3 linked regions of the Mus musculus genome follow. The protein of the gene in region 1 purifies or fractionates together with the protein of each later gene. This does not show direct contact. Links are inferred from orthologs where the notes say so. Each region holds a gene or a part of one and is shown on either strand. Other genes may lie near its edges.

Evidence for each region.
Region 2: the proteins of Magea10 (region 1) and Fam216a purify together in Homo sapiens (affinity purification with mass spectrometry; 3 studies listed by BioGRID and IntAct, counting the BioPlex papers as one, with this or other methods). This does not show direct contact. The link is inferred for Mus musculus from reciprocal best matches to the Homo sapiens genes MAGEA10 and FAM216A.
Region 3: the proteins of Magea10 (region 1) and Foxj2 purify together in Homo sapiens (affinity purification with mass spectrometry; 3 studies listed by BioGRID and IntAct, counting the BioPlex papers as one, with this or other methods). This does not show direct contact. The link is inferred for Mus musculus from reciprocal best matches to the Homo sapiens genes MAGEA10 and FOXJ2.

Annotation. Positions count from the first base shown.
Region 1 is NC_000086.7:72,383,103-72,388,795, forward strand, and holds the start of Magea10 (melanoma-associated antigen 10), read right to left. Parts: upstream 3,757-5,693; 5' UTR 3,692-3,756; intron 2,167-3,691; exon of another isoform or gene 2,166-2,166; 5' UTR 2,073-2,165; intron 1,328-2,072; 5' UTR 1,239-1,327; intron 342-1,238; 5' UTR 285-341; coding exon 1-284. UniProt on the Homo sapiens protein: Not known, though may play a role in embryonal development and tumor transformation or aspects of tumor progression.
Region 2 is NC_000071.6:122,369,016-122,374,774, forward strand, and holds the start of Fam216a (protein FAM216A), read right to left. Parts: upstream 3,328-5,759; 5' UTR 2,933-3,327; coding exon 2,868-2,932; intron 1,559-2,867; coding exon 1,500-1,558; intron 624-1,499; coding exon 502-623; intron 1-501. Other genes in the region: Gpn3 (GPN-loop GTPase 3), read left to right, coding at 3,594-3,641, 4,896-5,004.
Region 3 is NC_000072.6:122,829,717-122,834,770, reverse strand, and holds part of Foxj2 (forkhead box protein J2), read right to left. Parts: intron 3,395-5,054; exon of another isoform or gene 3,336-3,394; coding exon 3,261-3,335; intron 1,834-3,260; coding exon 1,765-1,833; intron 1,611-1,764; coding exon 1,470-1,610; intron 1,091-1,469; coding exon 895-1,090; intron 1-894.

The sequences.
Region 1 (5,693 bases):
GAGTCTGCACTGACCTGGCTACGTGGAGAGGAAATCATAGCAGTGCAGGAGGAGCCAGCTCCTGGAGGACTATGAGGACTTGATGCTCTAGAAGCAGCACAGCCCTCCTCTGAGTTGCCTGATGTTAGAGCATAGGAAGAAGAGGTAGAAGAGAAGGAAGAAGGGAAAGACGAGGAATAAGTAGAAGAGGATGAGGAGGAATCTTCTTCCATTGTAACTGCAACACTTTGGGCCTCAGGCTGTCCCTCAACCATACATCTCCTACGCTTCCGGGGTCTAGGCATGATGATAAGTCTAGTCTTGAACACCAGGCAGGAGCTTGAAGATATAGACCCAGAGACCTAGGGGGAAAAGGGGACAGTAGAAGTATTTATTCATTGTTGACAGTTACTCCACTGGAAAGGCTCACAAAATGCCAATCTTTCTATTATGTGTATTCTAAAGCAACAAGCAGTCCTATCTCCCTGTCAGGTCTGTCTCTTGAGAGACAGAGGGGAGTAGTGACAAGTTTCCTCATACTGAAACTGGGGCAGAGTAGAGGCTTCAGGGTTGCCAGAAGTGTGCATGAGGCTAAGCAAAGAGTTTTGGGGTACATGTGACATATTTGTGGTTGCACCTCAGCTTTACTCTAGACCTTGCCTGGGCTTCCCCCGATGAAATCACCTCAGATAAAGATCCTTACCTAGCTCTTGTAAGAGAGGATGAGGCATCCCACAATCATAGACTGCAACGCTAATACTGGATCCCCATTCTATATAGGAGCTTGAACTGCACTGTGAAGAGTTAGACAACTCTCAAATTCCCTGTGTGTTCACTGTGGGTCCTCCCTTGTCTCCTGTCAGGGCCTGGACTCCATCTCATCTACTGGCCTAAAACAAACTCCTGGACCCCAACCTTCTGCTGTCCTAAGGCAAATCCCTGAAACAAACTGCCTCCTCTCTGAAAAGGCAGTGAAGGTGCCTCCATCTTGCAACTATTCAAGGCAACTGCAAAAGGTGTTCTAGTTAACTGTGGGGAACTGCCCAACTTTTAGCTTTATGGCTCTGCTTCCTGTGATGAGTTGAGACTACATGTCTTACGCAAAGGCCCACTCCACTGAGACAGAGGAAAGAGAAAGGGAGGGGACAAGAGGGAGAGTAGGGATATGCCTCTCTTTCATAGGGTTCCCTCAGCTGGCAGGAGAGTAGTTGGGCGCTGGACCCCATCTGTATAGGTGACTTGACTTACTCAGTTCTTACCTTGAGTCCTGGCCGACTTGAGAGCCTCCCTTGATGACTTCAGTCAGGGTTCCTTTAACCAGGGTTTTTAGATCTCTGAGACCAATGTCCTAGAACCAAGAAAAGAGATCTGACAATCCTGCCCTGGAACATGGGAGTCACAGGAGATAAGCTTCTGTGGGTCCTCTGTCTGTGCTCTGAGCTGGAGTTACTTTCAACATCCCCTGGGGTTCCCACCTACTCTGATGATAGATCATGGAACCACTGCAAATAACCAAGGTCACACACTCAGAACAAGTCCCTCAACACCAAGAGATCATGAAAATAATCAGAATGTTTGAACTGGTGGTCCCATTGCTTCTATGTTGAGTGGGATCCCTAGAGATGCATGCATGGCCCAGACCATGTTGTGTCCATTTAATGCAGCATCTCTATCTGATCTGTCCTTCCCAACAGGCTCACTTTATACTAGTTCTCCTCTTCCCAGCTATGTCCCTCTTTCCCACCTGAATTAGTTTAAGTAAGCTGGTCATTCAGCTTCCCCAAGAGCTGGTCCCAGGACACAGGCAGACAGCACAGTCCCTTCTTTCTGGCTGCAGAAACATGCAGTCATCACAAGAGGCCCATGCCTGGGGTCTGGCTCGTCTGGGGCTCTCCTCTTTATTTGACATCTGAAGACCTTACTACCAAGGTCTTCACATCCCTCAGACCCCCTTTCCTTAGTCCAGAGGCAGAAAGGAAATGCAGCCACAACAACCACACTTCCAGGGCATCCTACGCAGGAGAACAAGGGCAGACCATGTATGGAGGATGATGTATACTTTCAGATGTTCAGTTCTTACCATGTCTACTCACCTTGATTGCCGGCAGATACTATACACCTACTCTGGTAACCAGGTGTGGCTCTCTCTGCTTCTCTGGTAATCCCATTTACTCAGTCTCAACTTCCTGAAAGACACAGAAGTTAAGAAGGACATCTGAACACTCTTGGAGTGTTTCTCAAGACTGGTGGAAGAATCAGGAGTCCATTCTTGTCTTAGGGATTCTGAAGGATTTCCTATTTACTTCTAACAAGGTACCTGCTGACCCTCACATCTATCATTCAGGCCCAGGTCACCCTTGCTCCCCACCTTACACCCAAACATAATTCATAGTCTTCCCCAGATTAGTGTGAACACACAACAGAGGCAGCTTTTATATGGATAGTATCAGGGGTCTCCTTGTTCGTCCTTCAGGGATCTGGTGCCTGCCTTACCTCTACAGATCTGAGGCCTTTACCTCAGAACAAGGCCTGATCCTCCCTCATACCTTACAGGTTGAAGCAAAGGTGCACTACATCAGGTTACTTTGCCCATAGCTGAAGAGAATGTGGAAGCCTAAGATCTGAAGTGCAAGGGACTCATTTCTAAAAGTGGACCTCACTGGGTGCCAGAATGTGTTGAGTACCCTCTACGCAGAAAATGTCTCAAAAGTACACCTTCATCAATTTTAATGGTTGTCTCTCCTCCAGGAACTTTACAAGCATCTTTAAGTCCCCAAGTCCCCAGATGAGGAAGTAGAAGTGTGGAAAGTGCCTCATGCTCTGTGCCTACATGATATCAAAGGGGTTAAATTGCGTTGACTGGAGAGCCTGTCACCAGAATGTAAACATTACTTGCTTACAAAGCATAAAAGCTTTTTCATGGCCATCTCTTCTCTAGGAACTTTACAAAAAGGGTCCAGATCCTCACAGCCACAGATATGGATATGGAAGAGTAGTGTGGCAGGGCTTACTCTTGTAAGTCAGAACCTGGACCATCTTCAAAGCTCCAGGACCTTACAAAAATGACTTCAAGGACTCCAGGTATCTGGTGGTGGCTGTTAAAGGAGAGGGAACTTATTTCTGTACTTCAGCCAGGTTTTTAGGACTATATAGAGGACATGGTTTGGTATACTATCCCTGCCTTTCGATCTAGGGTGGGACTTCTGCAACTCTCTACCTAGTTCCCACCATGACTGAAAGACATTGGTGCTCCTCCTCTACCTGAAACTCCTAAATGGCTCCTAGGTGCTGAGTTCTGTGAGAGGAGCACTTCTAGTGGATCCCAACTGAAGCGTCTGCATTCCACTTAAAATTTCCAAATACACTCTGAAAAGAACATTGCCATCTGTGTTAAAGACCTCTAAACATCATTTTTCCATATGTGACAGACTTGGCAGAGGACTCAAAAATACCATTGGCCCACTATTTAAAACACTGCTCACCACAGGAGTGCAGCTAACAATTTGAAGTTCCCTGTGCTAGGTGTGCCGCTTCCCCAGGCCACTCTCCGGTCCAGTGGGACGTTACCCTCGAAGAGTAGGATTCTTATGGGAACCTCCAAGTGGCCCCACTTGGTGCCAGTCTAACAAAATGGGTTAAACTGCATTATGTGGACACTATCCATCCTGAAAGGGGTCTTTTCCACCCACCTCACCTCAGCAGAAGCACTCACCTCAACACCGAAAGTGTGGCGAGACCGCCTCCAGCATCCTCACAAAATGGCGCTGAATCCTCAATGTCCCAGAATGCAAGAGGGTTGGGGAGGGGCACTTTTCCACAAGTCAGCACTGAGGCAGCTTCTGGGTTCCGTAAATCTCACAAAATGGCTCTGAATCCTCAATGTCCCAGGATGCAAGAGGGTTGGGGAGGGGCTCTTTTCCGCAAGTCAGCACTGAGGCAGCTTCTGGGCTTCATGAATCTCACAAAATGACTCTAAAACTCCCAGGAACCCAGATATCAAAGCTTGGGGAGAGGCTCATTCCCACATGGTGGCCTAGAGTTTATGCTTGACCTCCAAAAGGATACAATGTATCATAGACCCGTGTATCTGAGAGTCACACTCTCAGCTCCGATCTGGATCAGAAAGTCACACGGTCCACTCCTCTCTGGCAACCTCTGAAATTGTTCTTATGACAGTTTGCACCTAGAGGGAGGAGAAGGGGCTTATTTGCGTAAGTGACCCCTATTTGGTGCAGTCTAGCAGAGGTATATGATGTTGTGTCTTTATAATCAGCTCCCACAGCCCATACTCTCAGGTCTTACTTTCTCCTCCACGAACAATACTCCTTTCTTCCCTTCTGGGAATGTGTAAAAATAGCACCCCAAGAATGGAGGAACTAACAATTAGGGCACACCACCTTATGCCAGGTTATCCTGATGGATAAAATTACATTGCTTGGAGACCCTCTGATCTTGAAGGTTGCCTTTACAGTCCACCCTAAGCTCTCACTCAACTTCAAAACTACAGCATAACTGTCTCACATACAGGATACTCAGAGAATTCATTGAGTCCACCAAGTCCTCTGATGAGAATGCAAACCCTGGGAAAGAACTCATTTTCACAAGTCAGTCTGGATTTTGTTCAGGACCCTCAAAAGGATACTGTTGCAACATGGTCCAGGAATGGAGTTATAAGGTGAGAATTCTGAGCTCTTTCTGAGCTCCCATGTCTGTTTGCAAATGAATACTATGTGTCCTCAGTGCATCCATTTAATGCATTCTATTCTGTGGCCCATGCTAATCCAATCAGAGTGTACTCTGCACATTTCCAGGCATGTCTTGGGGTTTTCAGTGCAAATGTTGTCTTCCTATCCAGATGTAAGACATAGAAAGGAGACCCAGAGCAGGTATTACAGTGTTGTTTCGTCACAGATATTTTAATCTACTAATTGTTCCTTAATAAAATGACTTCCTCACCAAACACTTGGAATTCATTTCAAAAACTTGGTAAGGATTCTTCTTCCTTTCAATCATTCAAGTAGGAGCTAAACAAGTTCTAGAAAAGTAGTTTAGTGACCATCCTTCACAATATAGCTAGAAACCTCTCTCACCACACCAAACAATAGTATTCTGTTTTCTTCACCAACAGGCCACAGTAACTCTCTAAAATTGTTTCATTTGTTGCATGTTAAGCTTCACTATCAAAAGCAAACTATTCTTTTCATCACTAGAGGAATGTTTTGGGTCATTTGACAATTGATCTTTGTCAGTATAGGAGACTAAGAAAGGATGACAAATATACTAAGCAGAGAAACCACAACTCTAGACTCTCAATCCCCTGCCAACCTGACCTGAGCCTGAGTTCCAGAAAACCCTCCAATTCTGAGAGAAGATACAATTAGATCACTAACTGGGGGCTGTGGTAGAGGACTATTTTGCTCATGCACCCATCTTCTCATCTTCTTGAAGATTCCTGGAAGCAGATATTTTCTAATATCATTGGAAATAACTTTCCGTCTATGAACAAGTTAGTGACGTTTACCTGTCCAATCCTGGGGATTATGTATGCAGATTTTGTTACAGCACTAGATTCAGGCCCAATTTACATACAGATTCATTTTTATCTGGTCTTTCCTTTCCCTAAGTCCAGAAACATCATTTAAAACAAATGTAAGGTAATGTCTATCTTTGGTGGAAGGTGGGGGGAATTGTGTGGGAGAGGTGGTGAGGAGGGG
Region 2 (5,759 bases), on another chromosome or scaffold:
TACTGTGAGTTAGTTTCCAACCTAAATTTTTTAAAATTGTATGTCTGCATGTGGGGATGTGCACAAGTACAGATGCCCAGAGTCAAGAAAAGGGTGTCCAAAGCTAGAAGAAAAAGAAGTGGACAGGCTCCACAGTGTTACACCACCACAGCTCTGCAAGGGGCTCCCTTCATGGACTCACTGACAGAATGTCACGTATGCCATGAAGACTACAGAGCCTTAATTCTATCTACATAGTTTATCTTCAGACACAAGTTCTGGACCCAGAGCTTGGTCGCTGAGCTTGCTTCGGATGCTGAGACCCTGGACCTGATATCAGGCATCCTTCAGAAACATTTCAGGGGCTGGCAACATGGCTCAGCAAGCAAAGCACTTGCTGCCAAGACTGACAGCCTGAGTTTGACCTCTAGGATACACAGGGTAGAAGGAGAGAACTGGTTCTCACAAGCTTCCCGCTGACCTCCACACACACCATAGTCAAAATTTAAAATTCTGCCTTACCTTTAGAAAAGATGCATCTGTCATTGATTTAGGGATATGAATTGTTTGGATTTGAGTAGTTTTCCATAACTCCTGCAGTTTGGCAATGTGTGCGTACACTCTGTGTCCCTCCTTGATTCTGTCTGTAGGCAAAGACATTAATTATATGACTTTCTGAGACAAAGATTATTAGTAATACATATTTATGACTACCAGTGATTATCCTGAAGCAGCTATAGTATTTTAAGTCAGAGTTACATTTTGAGAGAATATAGAGTATGCCCTTTATTTTAAAGTGCAGCACAAACATCTGGAATCAACACCAAATGATACTCGGGATCCCTCATCAGCAGTTCAGTGCAATAAAGATGAGCTGCAGGCCTGACAAGATGGGAAAGGATGTGCCCAGCATGTCTGGCAATCTGACCTCAGTCCCTGGACTGTCAAACGGAATGAGAGAAGTGACCCACAGAATTGTCCTCTGGCATCCCCTGCACAAACACCCATGTCACCAAGGCCAGCACACCCGACCTCCCCTTAACCCTTAGCCTGCAAAGTTACTAAGAGGCCCTTAGAGGCTTTCTTTTCCTCTCTCTCTTAACTTGATCAGCAAAGTGGTATTTTGAAAGTGCTTCCTGTGAAATAGCTTATGGTTTCCGAAGCTGTTCATGCAGGATTCTCCCCAATAGTGCATGTGTAAACAACAGGTGTAAAGCCCTGCACTTTCCAACCGTTGCTAATTCTAAACATATTTCTTTTACAATTCACTGGTACTTTAAAAAAAATCATTATATATTAACAAAAGGTAAAGAGCTCATCTTTGAAACTCTTAAAAGAGTACAACTCAAAAGGAGAGTCCTCGCCTACCCGGTGGGTTCTGGGGGAACTGAACTCAGGTCGTCCAGCTTGACCACAAGTGTCCTTAGCTGCTGTGCCATTTTGCCGATTGGTAACACTGCACTGTGTACTTAGTTACAGGGAACCTGGGTTCTCTCAAATCTGTAATCCACATGCATTACCTGCTTTATGCTGCTCGCCAGTGCCCTTGGAATTCTGGGGATAAGAATGTCCAGCTGATCTGTTAGCAAAGAACACGCATAATGTAATCTGGCAGCCTCATAGCCACTGAGGACTGAATGTTTTGGGTTTTTTTTTTTCAAGACAGGGTTTCCCTGTGTAGCCCTGGCTGTCCTGGAACTCACTCTGTAGACCAGGCTGGCCTCGAACTCAGAAATACGCCTGCCTCTGCCTCCAGAGTGCTGGGATTAAAGACGTGCGGCACCACTCCCAGCTGGACTGGATGTCTGAAAACAGAGACAGCTGCACACGCTCTTGACTTTTTCCTGTTTCCATCAATGTCTTACCAAGTTTCTCCTCTAGATTGGCTACAAAAAAGAATACAGCTTTTTCTAAGTGAGTGGTCAGATTTTTAGCATACTAGGATGAACGTGTGAGTGTGTGTATGTTACTGGGAGATAGAACTCAGGGCTAACCAACACTATACAAGTGCTCTACTACCACCAAGCTGGATCCCTAGTCTAATATTTACTTTACCAGAAAGGACTTAGGTAAATCTGGTCTCATAGCGTCCTAGTCTAATTCTACAGTGAGATCAAGCCTGTAGTTTGCTTGGTTCCTGTACTTAGCCACATGATATCTTTCTTGTTCTTTAATAGAAGTAATTTCTGTCCTGGAAAGAACAATTACGTTGTGCTGGAACTAGTACGCTGGTTTGTTAATTGTTTCCAATCATGGATCTGGTCTTTTTACTTTTTTCAAAAAATGAAATTGATTCCTGTAGCCGGGTAGTGGTGGCACACGCCTTTAATCCCAGCACTCGGGAGGCAGAGGCAGGTGGATTTCTGAGTTCAGGCCAGCCTGGTCTACAGTGAGTTCCAGGACAGCCAGGGCTACACAGAGAAACCCTGTCTCGGGGAAAAAAAAAAAAAAGTCTTAGCACCAAATATATATTTACAATAAAATGTACATTTAATAATAATGTACTTAATAAACATAAATATATTTTTATTTCATGGCCACGGATTCAGATTCTACAAGAGCCATGATTGTGGGCCTAGTTGGATCCCAGTCATCCCGCCTCTTGATTTTTTTAAGGAAGGAGGCCAGGAGGGGGACAGGGAAGCATGGCATCCAGCTGTGATATCAGAAGTCAACTGTCCTCAGCCATCTAGGGGACAGTTAAAACCTTCCCAGGCCCGAGGCGGCTGGACCCTCGGCTCCCCGCCAGGTTAGGAGCCCGAAAGCTCAGTCTCTGTCCTGCTCCGAGGCCGCCTCGGCAGCCGAGCCCCGCTAGAGCCCGCTCCCCCCCCCCCCCCCCCCCCCCCCGTCTCGCGCCTCCTCGGCAGGGGTTCCCAAGGCCGCCTCACCCTTCACCGCCTTCCGTCCGGGCCAAGGCGGGCGGCCCCGCGACCCCGGGCCAACGGCTCGGCATCCCGTCCACACGCGTGCACCACACCGGCTCTGAGTCGGCGGCCTCCGGCTCTCCCCACTCCGACCCTGCTCAAGTGGCCGCCGGATGGTGCGGAGGAAGACCCGAGTTCCTGGAGCTGTAGACCCGAGGGCGGAGGAACCTCAGGTAACCAGGCTCCTGCGCCTGGGCATCTCTCGCTGACAAGGACGCGTCAGGGCAAATCCATCCACACGCACCCTAAAGCAAGTATTCCTTATCCACCTCAGTATTCTAGACCCTCAGAGGACCTGCAGACCTTCGGTTGTCACCCTATGTGTCAAACCCAAGCACCGGTGCTGCGGCCCGGGGGCGCGGAGCGTAATTCGCGATCCGCTATCACCTAGGCAACCGCCTTCGCCGGAGGCCCAACCGATAACGGCTCTCGGCTCTTTCTCTTTCTCTCTCTGCGCACGCGTGAACGAACTCGTGTCCCCGCCTCCTCTCTGAGCACGGCACGCGTTTCGGAAGGCATTTTGGCCCTGGGGACGCTCCGTAGTCTATGGTGTAGTAAATACCCGTGCTGAACGAGCGATCTGTGGTTGCGATTGGCTCCTACGCACATTCCCCGGAACGCCGTGGCTGTCGCGCGAAGGCTGAAGGGAGTGTGGCCGTCGGCTGTGTGTGAAACCCCCGGAGAGGCGGCATGCCTCGATATGCGCAGCTCGTCATGGGCCCCGCGGGCAGCGGGAAGGTGAGCCTGGAGGAGCTGCGGTGCGTGGGTGGCTGGGCTCCGGGGAAACCCTGGGTATACGGCTTCCTGCTCTCTGCTTGTACCTTGCTTTTTTTTTTTTTTTTGTTTGTCTGGGAGTGATAGCAGCTTTAATAGCTCTTGAGCGGCTTGAGAGAGGGCTGAGCGCTCAAGAGCTTGTTCTGTCCTCCCAAAAGACTTCAGTTCTGTCCAGCACCCAGACAGAGCTGCAGGACACCTTTGCTCCAGGAACTGCCCTGGTCGTTCCAGGTGTCTTCATATCCATTCTGTGTGCTTGATCCTATACCCATTCTACAGATTACAAACACAGAAAGGTTTATTTTGTTCAAAATCATACGCTTACTTAGGTCCGCCCCGGAATCTGAGTCTGGGTTGTTGGTCTTTTTGTTTTTTTGGTTTTTTTTCCCCTGTCTAATTCCAGACAAGGCCCCCTGCCACGCACCCAGTATGGGGTCTTTTCTTCCCTTTTTCTCAGAAGTTTGGAGTATGGGTTTCAGATAAGTTTGTAGATATGCACTGTTTGTGGGCATTTTTTTCTTTTTCCTTTGAGACAGGGTTTTTCTGTGTAGCCCTGGCTGTCCTGGAACTCACTCTGTAGACCAGGCTGGCCTTGAACTCAGAAATCCGCCTGCCTCAGCCTCCCACGTGCTGGGATTAAAGGCGTCTGCCACCACTGCCTGGCTCTAGTTTTTATATTTATTTTTTTTGTGTGATACAGTGTTTCTTTGTGTACATATTAAGAGAATGATGCTAAGGACACTTAAGCACAGTAGAAACGGCAATGGTGACATTTGAGGGATGCCTAGAGTCTATAGAGGTGTTTGTATCATTTTAATATTTAATAAATACAATATTCAGAGTACTAGAGATGGCTGTGTGACTCCACAGGGCCTGTCATCTGATCTGGAAGGTACACAGCTCACCTGTCAGTTACAGTGCATCTGTATGGTGGGGCTGTCCTAGGTAGAGAGAACAGGCTGTCAAAAGGAAGCGTGGAGCGTGGAGGAGGTCATTTCTGTAACCTACGTTAATTTGTAGACTGTGTTAAAGAAACATCCTGAGCCCACGCCCTGCATCTAGATCTGCAGCTCTGGTCTCATCGCCTTCCCAGGGTTTCCCTGGAGGTGCAGTTTGGCTTGGGTGGACACTGGCTCAGAGAGGGGAGAATTGTCTGGGCATGTGGAGGGCGGTACGCTACTGCCTTGGGTGCTAACCCCCCACCTTGTCACGTTACAGAGCACCTACTGTTCCACCATGGTTCAGCACTGTGAAGCCCTCAACCGATCTGTCCAGGTGGTCAACCTGGACCCGGCGGCAGAACACTTCAACTACCCTGTCATGGCCGGTAAGTCCCGGCAGGGCCACCTTCTTCAGGCACCGTAAAGCTCAGAAGGCACTGGAAGCCGGCTGCTCAGTTATTCACGTGCTCAGCCCCGGGGTGAGGAGGAGCAAGATGAGGCCACGGGCCATTTCATGGTGGTGTTTGTGGGTGTGGATGCCATGGCCTCCTTTTCTGGTCTTTGCTGGGAGACTCTAAGGTGAGCGGGCTCCTGCCTCCCTGCCTTTCCCTCTGGTCCCCTTGTTGCTTACTCTGGTGAGTTGGGGGTAAGATGGTTTGTCCACAGTAAATAGCACCTGTGCTGGCTTAAAAAAGGTGAGGCTCAGCCGGGCATGGTGGCACACGCCTTTAATCCCAGCACTTGGGAGGCAGAGGCAGGTGGATTTCTGAGTTCAAGGCCAGCCTGGTCTACAAAGTGAGTTCCAGGAAAGCCAGAGCTACACAGAGAAACCCTGTCTCGAAAAACCAGAAAATAAAAAAAATTTAAAAAGGTGAGGCTCAGGGCTGGGCTGGGGCTTGGTGGTGGAGTGCTTGCCTAGGGTATGTGAAGCCCTGGGTTTTACCCTCAGCACCACATAAAACCAAGTGAGGTAGTACACATTTGTCACCTCTGCTCAGTGAAACAAAACAAAGCTTTTTTTGTTTTTTAATTAAAAATAGTAATCCTCAAACAGAAGCTGCTCACTGAGATGACGGTGCAAATGTTTGAGCCATCAGCTATATACATACACACATACATACGTACATACATACAGACACAC
Region 3 (5,054 bases), on another chromosome or scaffold:
ACCAGACAAGGATCATTCAAAGTCATCCTTGGCTACATAGCAAGCGCAAAGCCAGCCTGGGATATCTGTAATTCTCTCTCACCCTAACTAACTAACTAACTAACTAACTGAAAGAGAAAATTAAGTTGTTCTTATTATAAAGCATAAGGATTCTTGGGGAGAGGGTGCCACTACTGTCCCCTAGTGGTCATACTCTGAATGACTCGCTCACAGCTGGGAACTCATTACCCCTGGACTAGAGGTGTAGCCCAGTGGTAGAGCACTCTAACACACACAGCCCCTGGGTCAAATCCCAGGACTGGGGTGGAGGATGTGAGGGAAATCGCTGCCTTTGGATTGTCCTCTGATTCGTTTTCTGAAGATAATACCCTAGTGTGCCTCTGAGTCAGCTGTCTGTACCAAATAGTTTAGTCCTCTGACCAGTTTCATATATTAAAACGAGAAATTGGGAGCTGGCAAGATGGCATGTTCAGGTAAGTGCATCTGCTGCCAAACCCAATGCAAGTTTGTTCCCTGGGACTTGCGCATTGTAACATTTTTTAAAGACTACACACACACACACACACACAGAGAGAGAGAGAGAGAGAGAGAGAGAGGGGGGGGGAGAGAGAGAGAGAGAGAGAGAGAGAGAATGTAATCTCAAAAAAAAACAAAAGACAGAAAATAGGGAGAGAAGAGAACATTACCACTTGACAGTATAAGAAACTTTCAGTCCCAGCAACCAGAAGGGGGAGACATGCAGATCTCTTTACGTTCAAAGCCAGCCTGATCTACCTAGCAAGTTCCAGACCAGCCAAAGCTACAAAGAGGGACCCTGTGTCAAAGAAAAAGAGGAAAGAAAAAAAAAAAAAAAAAAAAACAAGGATGTCCCCGCCTGTCCCACTGCAGACTCACCGTGCTGGGAGGAGGAGGACCGCTCCAGCATGGACTTGTAGAGGTTGCGGAAGGACCAGCTTAGGTCCTGAAAGTTGATCTCTGAGTAGGAGAATTTGAAGTCATGGTTGGTGTTGTAGAGGGGAGGGGCGCCCTCTGTGCTCTCCTGGCCTGGGGCCCCTGCTGCCACTGCTCCACCATCCACAGACCCTGGGCCCTGCAAAGACAGGTAAGAACGGTGACCTAAGCCTTCTAAGCAGCATAACCCACCAGGGTCAGTCAGGTCTGTCCTCTTCACCGTCTCCAGCTGGCCAATGGCACAGCATCACCGGCTCTTCCCGCTCTCATTGGCCATCTTGAACCTGGCTTCTACATCACTCTCCATTTCTTTTCTACAAGCCCTTCCCTAGTGCACCTCCATGCCTCTCTGCACCTCCTTCCTTCTGGCTGGGTTTTCCTCCTTTGCTTTTTCCTTCTTTCCCAATCTATCTGCCTAGCACATGACAAGGTACTCAATATGCAAGTGAACGGCGTGATATCCAAACCCACTGAACCATCCGTCCAATTACCCTATGCTTGTCATCTCAGCTTCCTACCTGGCTGTAGTTGGCCACGGAGGAGGGGCTCTGAAGTGACATCTGAGGAGTCCCCTCGTGAGAGAGTGAGGCTTCTCCACTCCCTGGAACACCTCCCCGGGGGCTTTTGCTGGCTTCCTGCTCTGGGGAGTCTTGGGATAGCTGAGAATTGTGAAAGAAGAGAAAAGCTGTATGCAGGGTGAGGCACCCACCCACGAGCCAGCTTGTGGCTCCACCTTGCTGGTGCTAACCCGCATTTAGTCACAGAAATGACTAAAATCCAAGAAAGAGCTCTCCCAAAGAAGAGAGCACTTACGTCATCATCTGGAGGGTGTCTTCTCTTCCGGGAAATGTCAGGGCAGGTGTCAATTGTCCAATAGGAGCCCTGGAAGGGGAACCCAACCCCACGGGAAAGAGAAGCATTACCTATAAAGTTCCTGTTGGAAAGAGCCTCTAATAGCAGTCATGCTGAAAATGGGGTGGGGCTCGGGAATGTAGCTCAGTGGCAGAGTGTTTGCCTAGCATGGTGTTGGATTCCCCAAGACAGAATAGAAGAGAGGAGGAAGGAAGGAAGATCAAGCAAGAGAAAAGAGAAAAAGGAAAGGGAAGGAGGGGAGAGAGAAGACGCCAGGCTAGACCTCCTGACGGAATCCCAAGGGAGCTGAGTGCTAGCGAGGAGTAAATCTGCCCTCGGAGGTCACAGAGCAGTCCAAACACTAGCTTCAAACGTTCCAAAGGGGCAGAAGACTAATGTCAGAGACTATGTCAGAGAGCTGAGAAAGGCCAGAAAACCTGGTCCCTTCCCCTACGACCTGAGGCAAAAGTGCCTTAAGCGTTAGCATCTGTCAAATGGGAAGAACCTCTCCCTTCTCCCGTTAAGGTCAGGCCTGAGACCACACAGAAAAGCTTCCGAAAGGTTAGCGAGCAAACTGGCGATGTTGGTACACACCAGTAATCCAGCACTCAGGAGGGACTAAGGCAGGAGAATGACAAGTCTGAGGCCAGTCTGGGCTACACAGTAAAACCTGTCTCAAAAACAAAACAAAACAAAACTAACTAAGCCAACATTTTACATGTAGAAACAAGTGCTTCTCAAAAGAAAGGGGGTCCCGCCAGCCTGGGCTACAGAGTGTGAGACTCTATCTTTAAAAAATTAAAAGGCTGGGCATAAGGACATGCCTTTGCTATTTGTTTAGTTTTGTTTTTTTTTTTAATTTTTTGAGACAGAGTCTCTCTCTAAGGCCCTGGCTATCCTGGAACTCTTTATGAAGACCACACTGGCCTCATAGTCACACAAATCCACTTGTCTCTGCCTCCTGAGTGCTGGGATTAAAGATGTGTAATACCACACCTATACTGATGTATGTCTTTAATCCCACCACTTGAATCTATGAGTTGGGGTTAGCCTGGTCTACATATAAAGTTCCAGGTCAGCCAGGTCTACATAGTGAGAAGAAAGAAAGAAAGAAAGAAAGAAAGAAAGAAAGAAAGAAAGAAAGAGAGGGAGGGAGGGAGGGAGGGAGGGAGGGAGGGAGGGAGGGAGGGAGGGAGGGAGGGAGGGAGAGAGAGAAAGAATCTCAAAGACAACTCCATCATAAACATTCCTATTAAAACAAAAAGATTTCATAGTCTTCCTTAGTCTCCCACTCTAGGAAAGACCCAGCAGCTTGGCAGCCATGCTCTTCCTCTGAGGAAAACACAACGATGCTTCTAAAGCTAACATGGTTTCCTCCCTGGTCATCAGCACAGCCACCGGACTCTGAGTGTCACCTCTCCTTCCTCCTCCCTTTGATTCCTGCAGCAGCGACTCACCTTCCCAGGGTCATCCCGAGGTCTGGGCACCTTCCGGAAACACTTGTTAAGGGAAAGGTTGTGTCGAATGGAATTCTGGGGAAACAAAGAAGCAAGTTAGGTCTGAGCATTGGGTATGCCCCAGTGTTCCCCAAAGGGACACAGAAGAACATAGTTCCAGGGCCCATTGCAGCACCTCAGCCTGTACTGCGGGAGGGAGGGCTGCACAGAGAGCAGAGGGGTGAGGGGAGAAAACCACCGAAGTCAGAGGTGACGGTGACCAGGTGATCGTGAAAAGTTAACTTTACAGCTTTCAGCCTTCCTGCCAAATTGACAACGCATATATAAATGCCTCAAGCCAGAAGGAGCTCTGAATTTGAGGTTAGCCTGATAATAGCAAGTTCCAGGATAGCCAGAGTCACATGGTAAAACCCTGTCTCAAAAAATAAACAATAACAGCAATAAAAATAGCCAGACATGGTACCCCACACCTGTAGGCTCAGCACTTAGGAAACAGAAACAGGAGAGTGGCCACAAGTTGGAAGCCCCCCTGGTCTATATCACAGTGAGTTCAAGGGCAGCCAGTACTGCATAAAAAGACCATTTCTCTAAATAAGCTGTGTGTAGTGCATGCCTTTAATAATCCCAGCTCCCAGGAAGAAGAGGCCAGTGAATCTCTGTGAGTTTGAGTTGAGGCCATTCTGTTTTACACAGTGAGTCAGGACAACCAGAGCTACATGGTGAGATTGGGTACAGTGGGGGAAGGCTGCTGATGAGCTCATGAGATGATTCAGGGGTGCATAGTGCTTGCCGCACAAGCCTGGGGTACCTGAGCTCAACCCCTGAAACCCACATAGATGGAAGGGAAAGAATCAACCCTATGGAGTTATCACTTCACCTCCACATGCACATTGTGGTGCACACACACACACAAACACACCAGGCATACATACACACAATAACCATAATGAATTTTAAGTAGGAGCTAGGGAGATGGTTCAGTGGATAGAGTTTGACACCGATCGTGAGATGTAGCTGACCACACCTGTAATCCCAGAGTTTTTAGGATTAGATATGAGGTAGGCATAAGAATCCCTGGAAGATCACCCTAGCCAGTCTGGCCCCGCCTCAAACCTGCTAGAAGACGAACAGCATACCCTAGGCTGACCTCTTAACTTCCACAGCCACATGTGGTATGTATGCACTCACGCTTGCACACACATCCTAAACATGCATATCAACAAAAGCAGAAGAGCAGTATTTTACACTGTTTACATACATTAAACAAGGCAAAAACTCATGCGTATTCTACAGCGAGACAGCTCACTGAGCGTGAAGAATAAGTTAAACCTCCGGCACCTACATAAAGGCATGGTCCGTCATGCCAGTGTTAAGCACAGGGAACTCTGCTGTTGTCCTACAGCAAATGGGCGGCAGACACAAGACAGTGCCCAGAAGCTCACAGGCCAACGGGCCTGCTATATATACACAGTAGTTAACAACATTAGAGACCCTGTCTCAAACAAGGTAGAAAGCAAAGACCTACACCCGAAGTTGTCTGTCTTCTGACCACCACACGGGCTTGGGGCACACAACCTTATGGCATTCTTCCACCCTCACTAACAGGCAAGACACGTAAATGAATACAACAAAGGCTAAAACAAAAGAAACCTCAGGAGTGAAACAAAAGCACAGACAACCTTCATTTTCTCAGTAACACTCAGAACGACATCTGGGGAAAGGGAAAGCCGCAGTGCGCATGTGTCAGTGCGCAGAGAGCTGTAGCCTAGAGGGGCACAATTTACCACCGGAAGA